2 linked regions of the Caenorhabditis elegans genome follow. The protein of the gene in region 1 purifies or fractionates together with the protein of each later gene. This does not show direct contact. Each region holds a gene or a part of one and is shown on either strand. Other genes may lie near its edges. The genes, in order: penr-1 and F38H4.3.

The links.
Region 2: the proteins of penr-1 (region 1) and F38H4.3 fractionate together in Caenorhabditis elegans (co-fractionation; one large-scale study listed by BioGRID). This does not show direct contact.

The regions. Positions count from the first base shown.
Region 1 is NC_003283.11:5,267,519-5,271,349, forward strand, and holds penr-1 (HMG box domain-containing protein), read left to right. Parts: upstream 1-1,966; 5' UTR 1,967-1,971; coding exon 1,972-2,091; intron 2,092-2,136; coding exon 2,137-2,369; intron 2,370-2,417; coding exon 2,418-2,909; intron 2,910-2,957; coding exon 2,958-3,066; 3' UTR 3,067-3,226; downstream 3,227-3,831. Other genes in the region: spi-2 (TIL domain-containing protein), read left to right, coding at 385-387, 459-513, 564-685, 887-1,207.
Region 2 is NC_003282.8:11,840,388-11,846,984, forward strand, and holds F38H4.3 (BMERB domain-containing protein), read left to right. Parts: upstream 1-2,033; 5' UTR 2,034-2,174; intron 2,175-4,054; 5' UTR 4,055-4,059; coding exon 4,060-4,198; intron 4,199-4,479; coding exon 4,480-5,082; intron 5,083-5,170; coding exon 5,171-5,697; intron 5,698-5,765; coding exon 5,766-5,855; 3' UTR 5,856-5,982; downstream 5,983-6,597.

The sequences.
Region 1 (3,831 bases):
AAACTCGAAAAAAAAATATGGAAAGTTTGATGCCAAATATCAGGTTTCTTTTCTTGTTCTCAACTTTTTGAAATTGAGAACACTTCTATTCTATTGAGCATTGTGATGTTTGTACCAATTTAAACAAGGAAACATCAACAAAAAGTCACTTGGATCAGTCATCATGTAAATACGCGTCAGTTATGTGTGAACAACTGGTATCTAGTTGATCCTCCGAACTTTGTCACTTCTTTTTCGTTTTTTCGAGAACTGGGCGGCACACAGCAAAAGGGTATAAAATGGTAAGGAAATGGATGGAAAGGCAGAGTCAATTTGCGACCAGCGGTTATTGTACTACAAATAATTGTTATTTGCTATTTTTCAAAGTGTCATAAGTTCTCAACAATGGTGAGTATTTGTTATACATATATTTGTAAAATTTCCTCGTGTCTGTAAGTCTTTAAGTAAACCATTTCCAGAAAGTTTTCATCGTTCTCGCAGCTTTAATTGGATGCTACGTCTACGCTCAAGATGGTAAATATTCTGAAACTTATAATAAGCATGACATATTTTTTTAAATTTAGCTCAAATTCTGCCAGTAGGTGGACAAGTTGGTGGTGGGCAAAGATTGCCATGCCGTGGACGAAATGAAGAATATAAGACTTGTGGAACCGCCTGTGAGCCATCATGCACCAATCCGAACCCGGTAAGCTATCTGCCGACTCTTCGGGTATTTCTGTGCAAACACCGTCACGCGAAAATTCTGCACGCCTAAGTTTGATCTACAAAAAATGCGGGTTTTTTTCCTAGAAAATTGTGACGTCAGTACGCTCTTAACCATGCGAAATCATATGAGATGTATGCGTCTCACCTCCCGCATTTTTCGAAGATCAAAGCGTGTTTTTAGATGTGCACCAAGCAATGCATCAACAACGTCTGCCAATGCAGAAGCGGATACGTTCGTAACGAGATCACCAGACAATGTGTGCGTCAAGCTCAATGCTCCAGACCTGGAACTGGTTTCGGAAGCTCCACTCCGTTCCCATCTCAATCTCCTCAGAGATGCGGACGTAACGAAACATTCAGAACCTGCGGATCTTCGTGTGAGCCGAGCTGTACTACTCCACGTCCACAAGCGTGCACTATGCAGTGTATTGTGAACGTGTGTCAATGCTCTGAGGGATTTGTCCGAGGACCTTCCGGATGTGTCAGACAACGAGATTGTTAAACGAAATGCTTTTTAAAAACATTTTAATCTTGATTCAGCGTACCGCTGAATGATGTTCTGTAAAAATGAGTTTTGCACAATAAAGCTTCTATTCATTCAAAAAATAATCTCGACTTAAAAAACAACTCGTGTTTTTTTGAAATATCGTAATTTTGCTATTAATTTAGAACAAAATATTAGAACAATTTTTAACTGAAAAATAAACAGAAAACGACAGAGTTTGATAAAAACGACGTAATTATTAATAATTACGTCGTTTAATAATACATATGATTGATCAAAATGCTAGAAAACACAAGAAAGCAGCCGAAAATGTTCAAAAAAATTTACGATAACCATTTTTGCGCATCGAGACCGATCTAAATAAATTCTTGCTTCTTTAAAACGGATTACAATACAATTTTCCATCACAGAACGAGACTTTTTCAACAGCCACAAAAAACTCAAATTCAAATTGCCGCCGAAAGTGAATTGGTGCGAGGTAAGTGCGCTCCACCGCGAACATCGAATATTATTTCGAATGCAATGCTTGGCATCGTGCCAGCACCCAAATTATTATTGGTGACTGACTGTTTCTTTTGGTTTTCTTCGTTTTCTTCAAAATTATCGCATAAATATTATATTAACCTTAAGTTTCTGGTAAAAAGTACTTTTAAACACGGAATTTATCATAAATCAAGTGTATTTTGCATTTTTAAAACTTAATAACTGTGGATTATGAATTTATCGATTTTTTTTTGCCTACGTTACAATTTTCAGTTGAAATGACTAAACGCAAGAATGCGAGTAACGCTGGATCGAGCCCAAAAAAAGAGAAGAAATCGGAAACTTTTGCTGCTCTAAAGTCGGTTAAAGCGGAAAAGCGGCCAGCTGCGGACTCTTCGGTAAAAATAACCCAATTTCTTCACTAATAAAAGATGATTCTTCAGGATTCCGAGCCGGAGGACTTCGAAGAAGAGCAAATTACTCATACCGAGGCTGAAGAGACGAGAAATGAAGACAACGGTCAAGCGATTTACGAGCCTGATGTAATGCGCCCTTTGATTGAGTCTTTCTTAGAATTCCTTGTTCAAAGGCAGTCTGAAACGAGTACAGTCCATAACATGGAAAACAAGGTTGCGGAATGGGCTGAAACACGTCGAGATGATAATATTGACGCAGGGTAGCTCTTTCTGAAATTTTGGTTTAAATTAAAAATTTATTATTTCAGATTGTTCGTTCTCGACTTCCGTAAGTATCTGAAAAGTGCGGTGAAATTCAAAAATCTGCAAATGAACGATTCGTGTGCCGCCATATCCACCTATCTGAACAGTGAAAAATCTCTGGTCGAGTACAAGTCAATGCCGGATCGTCCACCTACAAAAATACAGCTTTACATAAAGAAACATCAGATTATGTTGAAAGGAATCGGTGGTGAACCGATGAAAAACGCCTACAAAGCAATGAATGCGGATACGGAGGGTGCGAAAGAACTCGACGAGCTACTCCGAGAAGCTTCGTTGCAGTACATTCCACAACTTCAGGAGTTCCTTGATACGCATCCAAATCTGACAGAAGAACAGAAGCGATCAATCGTTAACAAGATGAAGATGCTCAACAAGAAATACAACTCAAAGGAAATTTCAAGCACACCAAAGAAGAGATCTAGCAAGAAGGATCCAGAGACGGCATTCAGCCTCTTCTGTAGAACAAAGAACGATAAGTGAGTGTTTCTTTGCCGAGTTTCAATTTAAAAAAAAATATTTTTCAGGTATCGTGACCTGTCTGACGAGGAACGCGAGATCAAGCTGCAAAAGAAGTTCGAAAAACTGCCGGCCGCTCAAAAGGATATTTACGAAAGCCTTGCCATCAGCATGTGAACCACCCATTCCCCATTAATTTTAAACGTTATTTTATTAATCTCCAATAATGATCAACTTTTCGCGATACTCTTCATTTACTCGAGAATTTCAACCAAATTTGTTTCACACTGTTTTGTTTTTGTTTCAAAAATATTTAATGAAAATCTGTTATAATCATTGTAATTGTCCACTGAGTGGTTGATTTGCAAGTTTTATAGCTTTTCCTCATACTTTTCTCCTGTTCGTTTTTTTCCTAATTAATCCGATTCCCATTTGTGTCGTCAATTTGTAGAAATGGAGATAATTCGATTAGATGTTTCAATTTTTGTAAGAAATTTCATTGACAAGCATCTAGTACCTGCCGATAGTACTCTAATTCGCTAAAATTTTGGCATTTCAGTTCAAAGGCACACGCTATTTTTCCAAGTGGGTCTCGCCACGATCAGACGTAAATTTTGCACATTTTCTCATAGGTTGTAGAAGTGGAAGCTTGATAGGCAAATTTCAATCAAATTTTAAAGTTCACAGAAATTTTCGGCGATTCTACAAAACGATTTTCATTAAATAAAAGTGCCAAAAAATGAAAAATCTTTGATTTATCTGAAAATAATATCAGCTGAAAAATTCCAGAAAAAGCTCAGAAATGCCCGGAAAGTTGATAATTGTCGAAAACGGAAGCGAAAAGTCGGTAATTGGCGAATTTCCGGCCATTTTTGAGCATTTTCCCGATTTTTCAGCTGAATTAAATCTTATTTTTTAGATGAATCAAATGTTTTTTTTTGA
Region 2 (6,597 bases), on another chromosome or scaffold:
TTCCTTCGAGCAAAAATAAATAAACTTTTAAATGATAAATAGACCTATCTCCTCCGAGATCGCGACAAGCTCATAAAACAATATACATCATTTCATCTTAGGTCACGATAAGCTTAAGATTGCCTTCTTATGAATTCATAGACTAGTCTTTCAGCATCATCTCATTCATTTCTTCAATTGCTTAATCTCGTCAAACCTAATAAAAACACTTTCATTGTGTTATCTTATATCCATTTCCTGCTAGGTAACTATAGAAACTCAAGTGTTATGCTAACAGGTGTATATTTCTCCAATGCAACTTTATTTGATATTACACGAATCGTATAGTTGTTTTCTGTTCTCGATTATTCGATTTTATATATTAAAACATTGAAAAAAATACACAACAAGGATAGACCTTTCAAGAGGTACAATTGTTCAAAGGAAAACATAAGAAAATGAAGTTCAGTGAAGTGAAAGGAAACCTTACTACTAAAATTGTAGGGTGTCTCATGCTGTAGTTATTGAACAAGTTTTACTACTTATCATGTTTTTGAACTAATTTTTTGGTTGGAACTTGTATAAATTATTCCATCAGTTCAAATAGTAATCTCCATTTTTTTCAAAAAAAAACTGTCGGTAATTTGTCTAAAAGCTTACCTAAAATCCCATAGCAAATAGGCAAAGGTTATGTGAAGCTAGGGTGAATTGACTGCATGAACACTATGTGACTTGGTAGCACAGACTTTGAAGTTTGGTCATCAGTTATAGATAATTTTGTTGAAATGTTATACATGAGCCAAGTGGATGTGAAAAGTAGACACAAAAATAATAATTTTTCTTGCTGGAAAAGAGGAAAATAGTGAATAGTTGGAATGATTGGCCACCGAAGTTAAAAATGGCATTTTTTTAATCGTTTAGTATTTTTAACTTTTTGATATCAATTCTTATATACGGAATTTTTTATACTGAAAAATTAAAATTGCTTTTTCAGTGTTCGCTGTTCAAAAATTTTCTTTGCGAAAAAATGTCCTAGTAAATAACTGTATATTATTAGAAATTATAAAAGTAGCTAATAAATATTGCGCCATTTTTAGAACTTGATTAAGCCAACTCTAACACCTACGTGAATGCCTATTTGCCTGCCTACAAGGCAGGCAAGCACGCTTACTCACGTGCATATGTGCCTGGATACCAGAGCATTGAAACATGATAAACATTTTATTACCAAATAATTTAGAAACCAAGCAACTTGCAGAAAAATGGAAAATACGCCCGCTCTCTCACCAGCTCGCGCCTCGCCCGCACGCCCGTGCGCCTAAAAAACGCCCCGAAGAGAAAAAAATTCATAGCTTGTAAAACATTTATTTTCAATTAAATATATAATCTTCCATTATTATGAAACACCAATAATTAACATGATGGCAATTTATGAAGGTAGGGGAGAAAGGCGCCCCACGCTTCACCCGGTTGGGATGCCTAGGCATTTCAAAGTGTCAGCCCCTGCAACTTCCTCACTTAGCTTTTTTTGTCAGTTTCAAGATATCAATGACATCATAAATTGAATCCAAAAAAAGACCACCTTCTTTTCCGTTTCTTTTCACATTTCTTTCCTTCCGTTTCTTGCACACCCTCTAATCACACCCATTGTGTTCCTAGTATTTCTTTTCAAACAATGATCAACTATTTCTTTTTCTTTTTTCTTTTAAATTGTCTCCCATAATATTTCAGTTCACAAATCTCAATTGTCAATATTATGTTTCTTCTGTTTCACTTTCTCTGTTCTCATTATTATTTTGGGTTGAAGGGGGGGAAAGGCGCGTGCTCCTACCAGTTGGCATGGCACCCGCCTTTTTCGAGAGTGTGTCTGTTTGCAATCTCTTTTCTCTATCACACAACAGAAAACGAAAAGGAAAGAAAAAGAAAAAGACAATCTTAATTTCGAACGAGTGTTTGAGTGGCTCCCGCTGAGCACAGTCGCCGGGTTCCAATTTTCTCGGCGTCTCTCGTCATTTCCATGTTTTTTTCCTTCTTCCAAATATGTAATTCCGTGTTCTCGAGTTTCATGTTGTTCTTCACCATCCGTTTAGTTTTGGTTCACCTCTCATTATTCCACACATCTCCATTACTAACTTCTTTTTCTTCTTAAGAATCGCTATTCTAGTACTATTACTACTTGACAAAAATGAGAAGCAGTAAGTTCTTCAAAAATTGAAACAAAATTTTGTGTACTCAAACACTTGTTGACCTACATTTGAGAAATTGTATTCTCATTGAATTAAATTGCCGAACGGTTTGGTTTTTTTCTTTTTCAAATAGTTTTCTCCCCCGTTCCTCATCAGATTCGAATCTAGGCTCTTTGTTTACACACACTCACAGAATTTGAAATTCTTAATCCGCAGTGTAACTTGTCTATTTGAAATCAATAGAAAAATCTAATTTTTATCAGTTTTAGCAACCATTTTACCGTACTTTTCGTATTAGACTTGCACTCCCTTTTGGTCTACTTTGACTGCTTCTATCTAGGTTCTTCTTGGGTTTATCAAATAATTGTCAACTGGCAAGATACGTGCCAAATATTTCTCCATAATTTGGCTGTAGAACACTTTTTGATGAAATTGAAGATAACCGAGATATAAATCGTCAAAGTAGAGCAATGAGGGTTACAACTCAGCAATTCCCGGCAGCTTCTTCCCCAAGTTTGGTGCTTTCCAGCTTCTTACCCAACTCTTGCCAAGTTCTAGCCCAGAGTTTGCCCAAGTCTTACTTTAAGTTTAATTGATGCAAATAAAAAGTGAATCCAAGAAAACCTTGTTTGTCCTGAACTTAATGGTTAGTTTTTCTGATGTTTGCACCTGTTTGCTCCATAATATGTCAAAATGGCAAAAAGGGGCATTATGAACTTCAATGTTTGAATCAAAATGTTGAAGTAGTATTTTGAAACCCTTTCGCCCCACACGCAAATGTAACTTGGACCTTTATTGAATTTCAGTTTTTCTAGTAAGCGTATAAATGTGCCTATGTGCCTACCTGCCTACCGCCTATTATTAACATTTCGCCGTTTGCTCCGGTGTTTGGTGTTTGATGGTTTTTCATTTTCTCATTTTTCTTTTCAATTATTTTGATGAAAGTTCTAGAAATGGCACTCATGTAGGCACAAAGCAGGCATAGGTCGCCTTGAAGGCAGAAAAGCTGGAACTAACATTTTTGGAACGCATTTGAAAATTTTCATTCTAACTCTTCACTAGTTGGTTTCTTCCGCGTAAAAGATAATCTGCAACCAACCAAGACAAAGTTTTGAGCTAAATTTTACTAATTTGAGAACTTCCGCTCGCAAAAATGTTCATGAGAACCAACTTAAAAATTGAGTAGCGCTTCAAAATAAATAAGTATCATAATGAAACACCTCAAAAATTTTTTTTTATTTTTTTAAAAATATTGAGACAAGTTTTGGCAAATTGCCAAACTTTGGGAAATTTTGCACTAAACTGTTTGAATACAAGTTATTATAATTCAACAACTACCACTTTTTTTCAAAAAGAACTACAAACTCAAATCCAGCTTTCATATTGACCATTAGTTGTCTACAGTCCAAATTGTTTCATTTGGCAACGGTTGCATTTTTTAGTCTCTCTTGCGCCACCTTCCACTACCGCCACCTCCTCAACTCCATTCCTTCCTCATCCGCATTTCTTCCAATTTGTTTTATTTGCTTTCCATTATTTACGAGGCGCAGTGTATTTACATGCGCCCATGAGTACGGAGCTGGAGCAAAATAAATTGTTGCTAATTTTGAAGTGGGGTTCGGATATTTTCTATATTTCCCCGTCTTAATCAAATTGCCTTACCTTTTTTTGTGACTTTTTGAAAATCAATCCAATGAAACATATATCTATTTACTTGACCCATTAAAAAAACGAACAAACCAGAATGACTCACTTCCGCCACTTGACTTTGTCACTTTTGTTAACTTGTCAGCTAATCCGATTTGGTCGCCGCTTTTCACAGACCTTGAAATTTGCGGAAATTTGCCAATTTTCCGCCCAAAGTGTTGAACTTATTTCAAAAATTCTAGAATCCATGACAATTACGGACGAGTCAACGAGTCGGGTGGCTGATTCAACAGTACCACCTGACACATCATCTCCATCACTGTTTCAGAGAATTTGTTGTTGTTGTAATTCAGATCTCAAAGAGCCGCCAGTTCAATTGATTAGAAGTGAGTTTTCAGAAAATTAGTTTTAAAGATTTAAAATCTGAAAATTGTTTTTTGTGAAATTTCTTGAATAAAAAAATATATTCAATCTGAAAATGTTGTTTTGTAAAAATCTGGCAAAACATTAAAAAAAGATTGCTCAAAAGTTAATCAGTAGATGAAAAATTAGAAAGCATAAAATTTAAAAATTATTTGAAATGTGTAATCGGATACTCTACTTTTATGAGATACACTTCAAAATGTATACATTAAGTCATCTCAGTCAGTTCAAACCTATTTTTCAGGTGGTTCATTAACATATCAACAAGGAGATACACCAAAACCTGCATCAGATCCAACTTCATCTCCTCCAACTAACAATGTGATTTCTGCAGCAAAACGATCTGTAGACGATGATGTAGAGAAGCCTCAAACATCTCAAAAACCACCTCAAAAACCGAGTGAACCAGATGCAGAGAGTATAAATATGAATGATATATTAATGGAAAATGTGTTAAAAACAACAGAAGAAGATCGAACAGAAGCTGTTGAAGAAGATAATATTTCAATTTCAACAAATGTTATACAGGAAATTGATGAAAATGAGCTGAAAAAAGCACTGAAAAAGTCTGATGAAGCTCCCGCGTTGAAAGGAAGATCTGGAATTTCAAAGGAAATGCCATCTGGATCAGAGGACTCGGATGTAGAAGTGGAGGGTGACAACAGGAAAATGTCAGTTATCGAATTTATTAGAAGTGAAGCTCAAGCTGAAACATCTGCCACTATTTCATCTCCTGCACCCGTGAAAGCAGCGCCTGTCGAAGGGAATGGGGAAGAAGTTGAAAATGGTTTTACCAAAAATGAAAAAATGTCTGAAGCAACACAGTCAGAAATGTCAGATTCTGAGGGTAAGTGGGTTCTTTTTGAATTTTGGGTTCAAACGTTTTTGAGAGTAAAAAACGTGGAGAAGTCAAAAAAAATTACGAAATTTTTCAGATGAAGAGCGAGATGAAGATTCTGATGTTGGAAAGCCGATCAGTGTAGTTGGAATGTCGTCAAAAACCACAGCTCGTGCTGAACGAACCCCTGACGCCGAGGAGAGAAGGATCAGAGAATTTAGAGAGTTGAGCTCTGATGAAAGTTTGAAAGGAACTACCGAAGATGAAGAAGAGGAAATTATTGTTGATGAAATCCCACCACCACTTCCACTATCACCACCCCCAAACCTTTACGGACAAGTCGCCGGCTCTCCGATCCCACCACCTCGTTCCCCTAGAAGATCCTTGATGTACGCAAATGCAGATGAATCAGATTCGGATTCTGATGATGAGGGTAGTGGAGATGCTCATCTTGTTGCAGTAAATGCTCTTGTTCGAATGCATCCGGTTAATTTTGCTCCGCATAGAGAAGATGACAGGCAATCTGTATCATCGGTTTCAACCGCTTCTGATTTGTCTGAAAAAGAAAATGGAACAGATATTGGTATCACACGGATTTCTGTCAAGAGTGATGGCCGAGCAGAGGTATGTGTTGTATAGTTCTGACGTAGATGGTATACTATCACAATATGCATTAATGTTTCTATTTTCAGATCCATTCCCCAAAGAGGCCAGTGCGCGTGACGTTGGAAACAGATCGAAATGAAGTCACTGATGACGACTTTTCAGAGAAACTTATTTGATTGAAGAAAACAAAAACAAATTTCTTTCTGATGACCAAAGTATTTCTTTTTTCATAGTGTCCTGCATAGTTTCTGTCACTTTCTATTGTTGTTTTTTTTCTTTCAAAATGAAAAGTCTATTCTTAAACTCTCTCGATTCTTAAGAAACGAATTCAAAAAAATCCACGAGCTTATTATATACACAGTTAAAATGAGATGTGCGCATAGTGGATGAAGAGCCATAATGCGCGCATCGCATGTGGCGACCACCCGTCATGCGCCTATCGCGAACGGTTTGCGATGGGCCCATATTGGCTCTGTGGATCTTATAGAGAAAAATGACAAAGATCACCAACGAGGAGAATTTCGAAGAGAACTTAGAACACAATGTGTCCATAATTTATGTTCGCGATGCTCGCAAAATGCATCTCAAGTTCGACGCACAATGCGCGCGCAATTTTTTTTCCGGTTCCTTTTTCTCCCACGCGCGTTCCACGCCGAAAACACTATGCGCACATCACATTTTAACTGTGATTGTACTTGGATTGTTGAAAGGCATAGAAGCTCACCCCAAAAATGTACAAAAATGAACGATTTACAAGGGGTTTTAGTCTAATTTCGGTACTTCGCCTTTAACTAGGGATTGGTGTGCAGAGCGTTTAGAATTTTGAACTAAATTTAATCATTTTATAGCTGGTATTATGCACTTCTCGAACGTAAGATAAAAATCTCCAAAAAAATCGCGCCGAGACCGGGAAAAGAG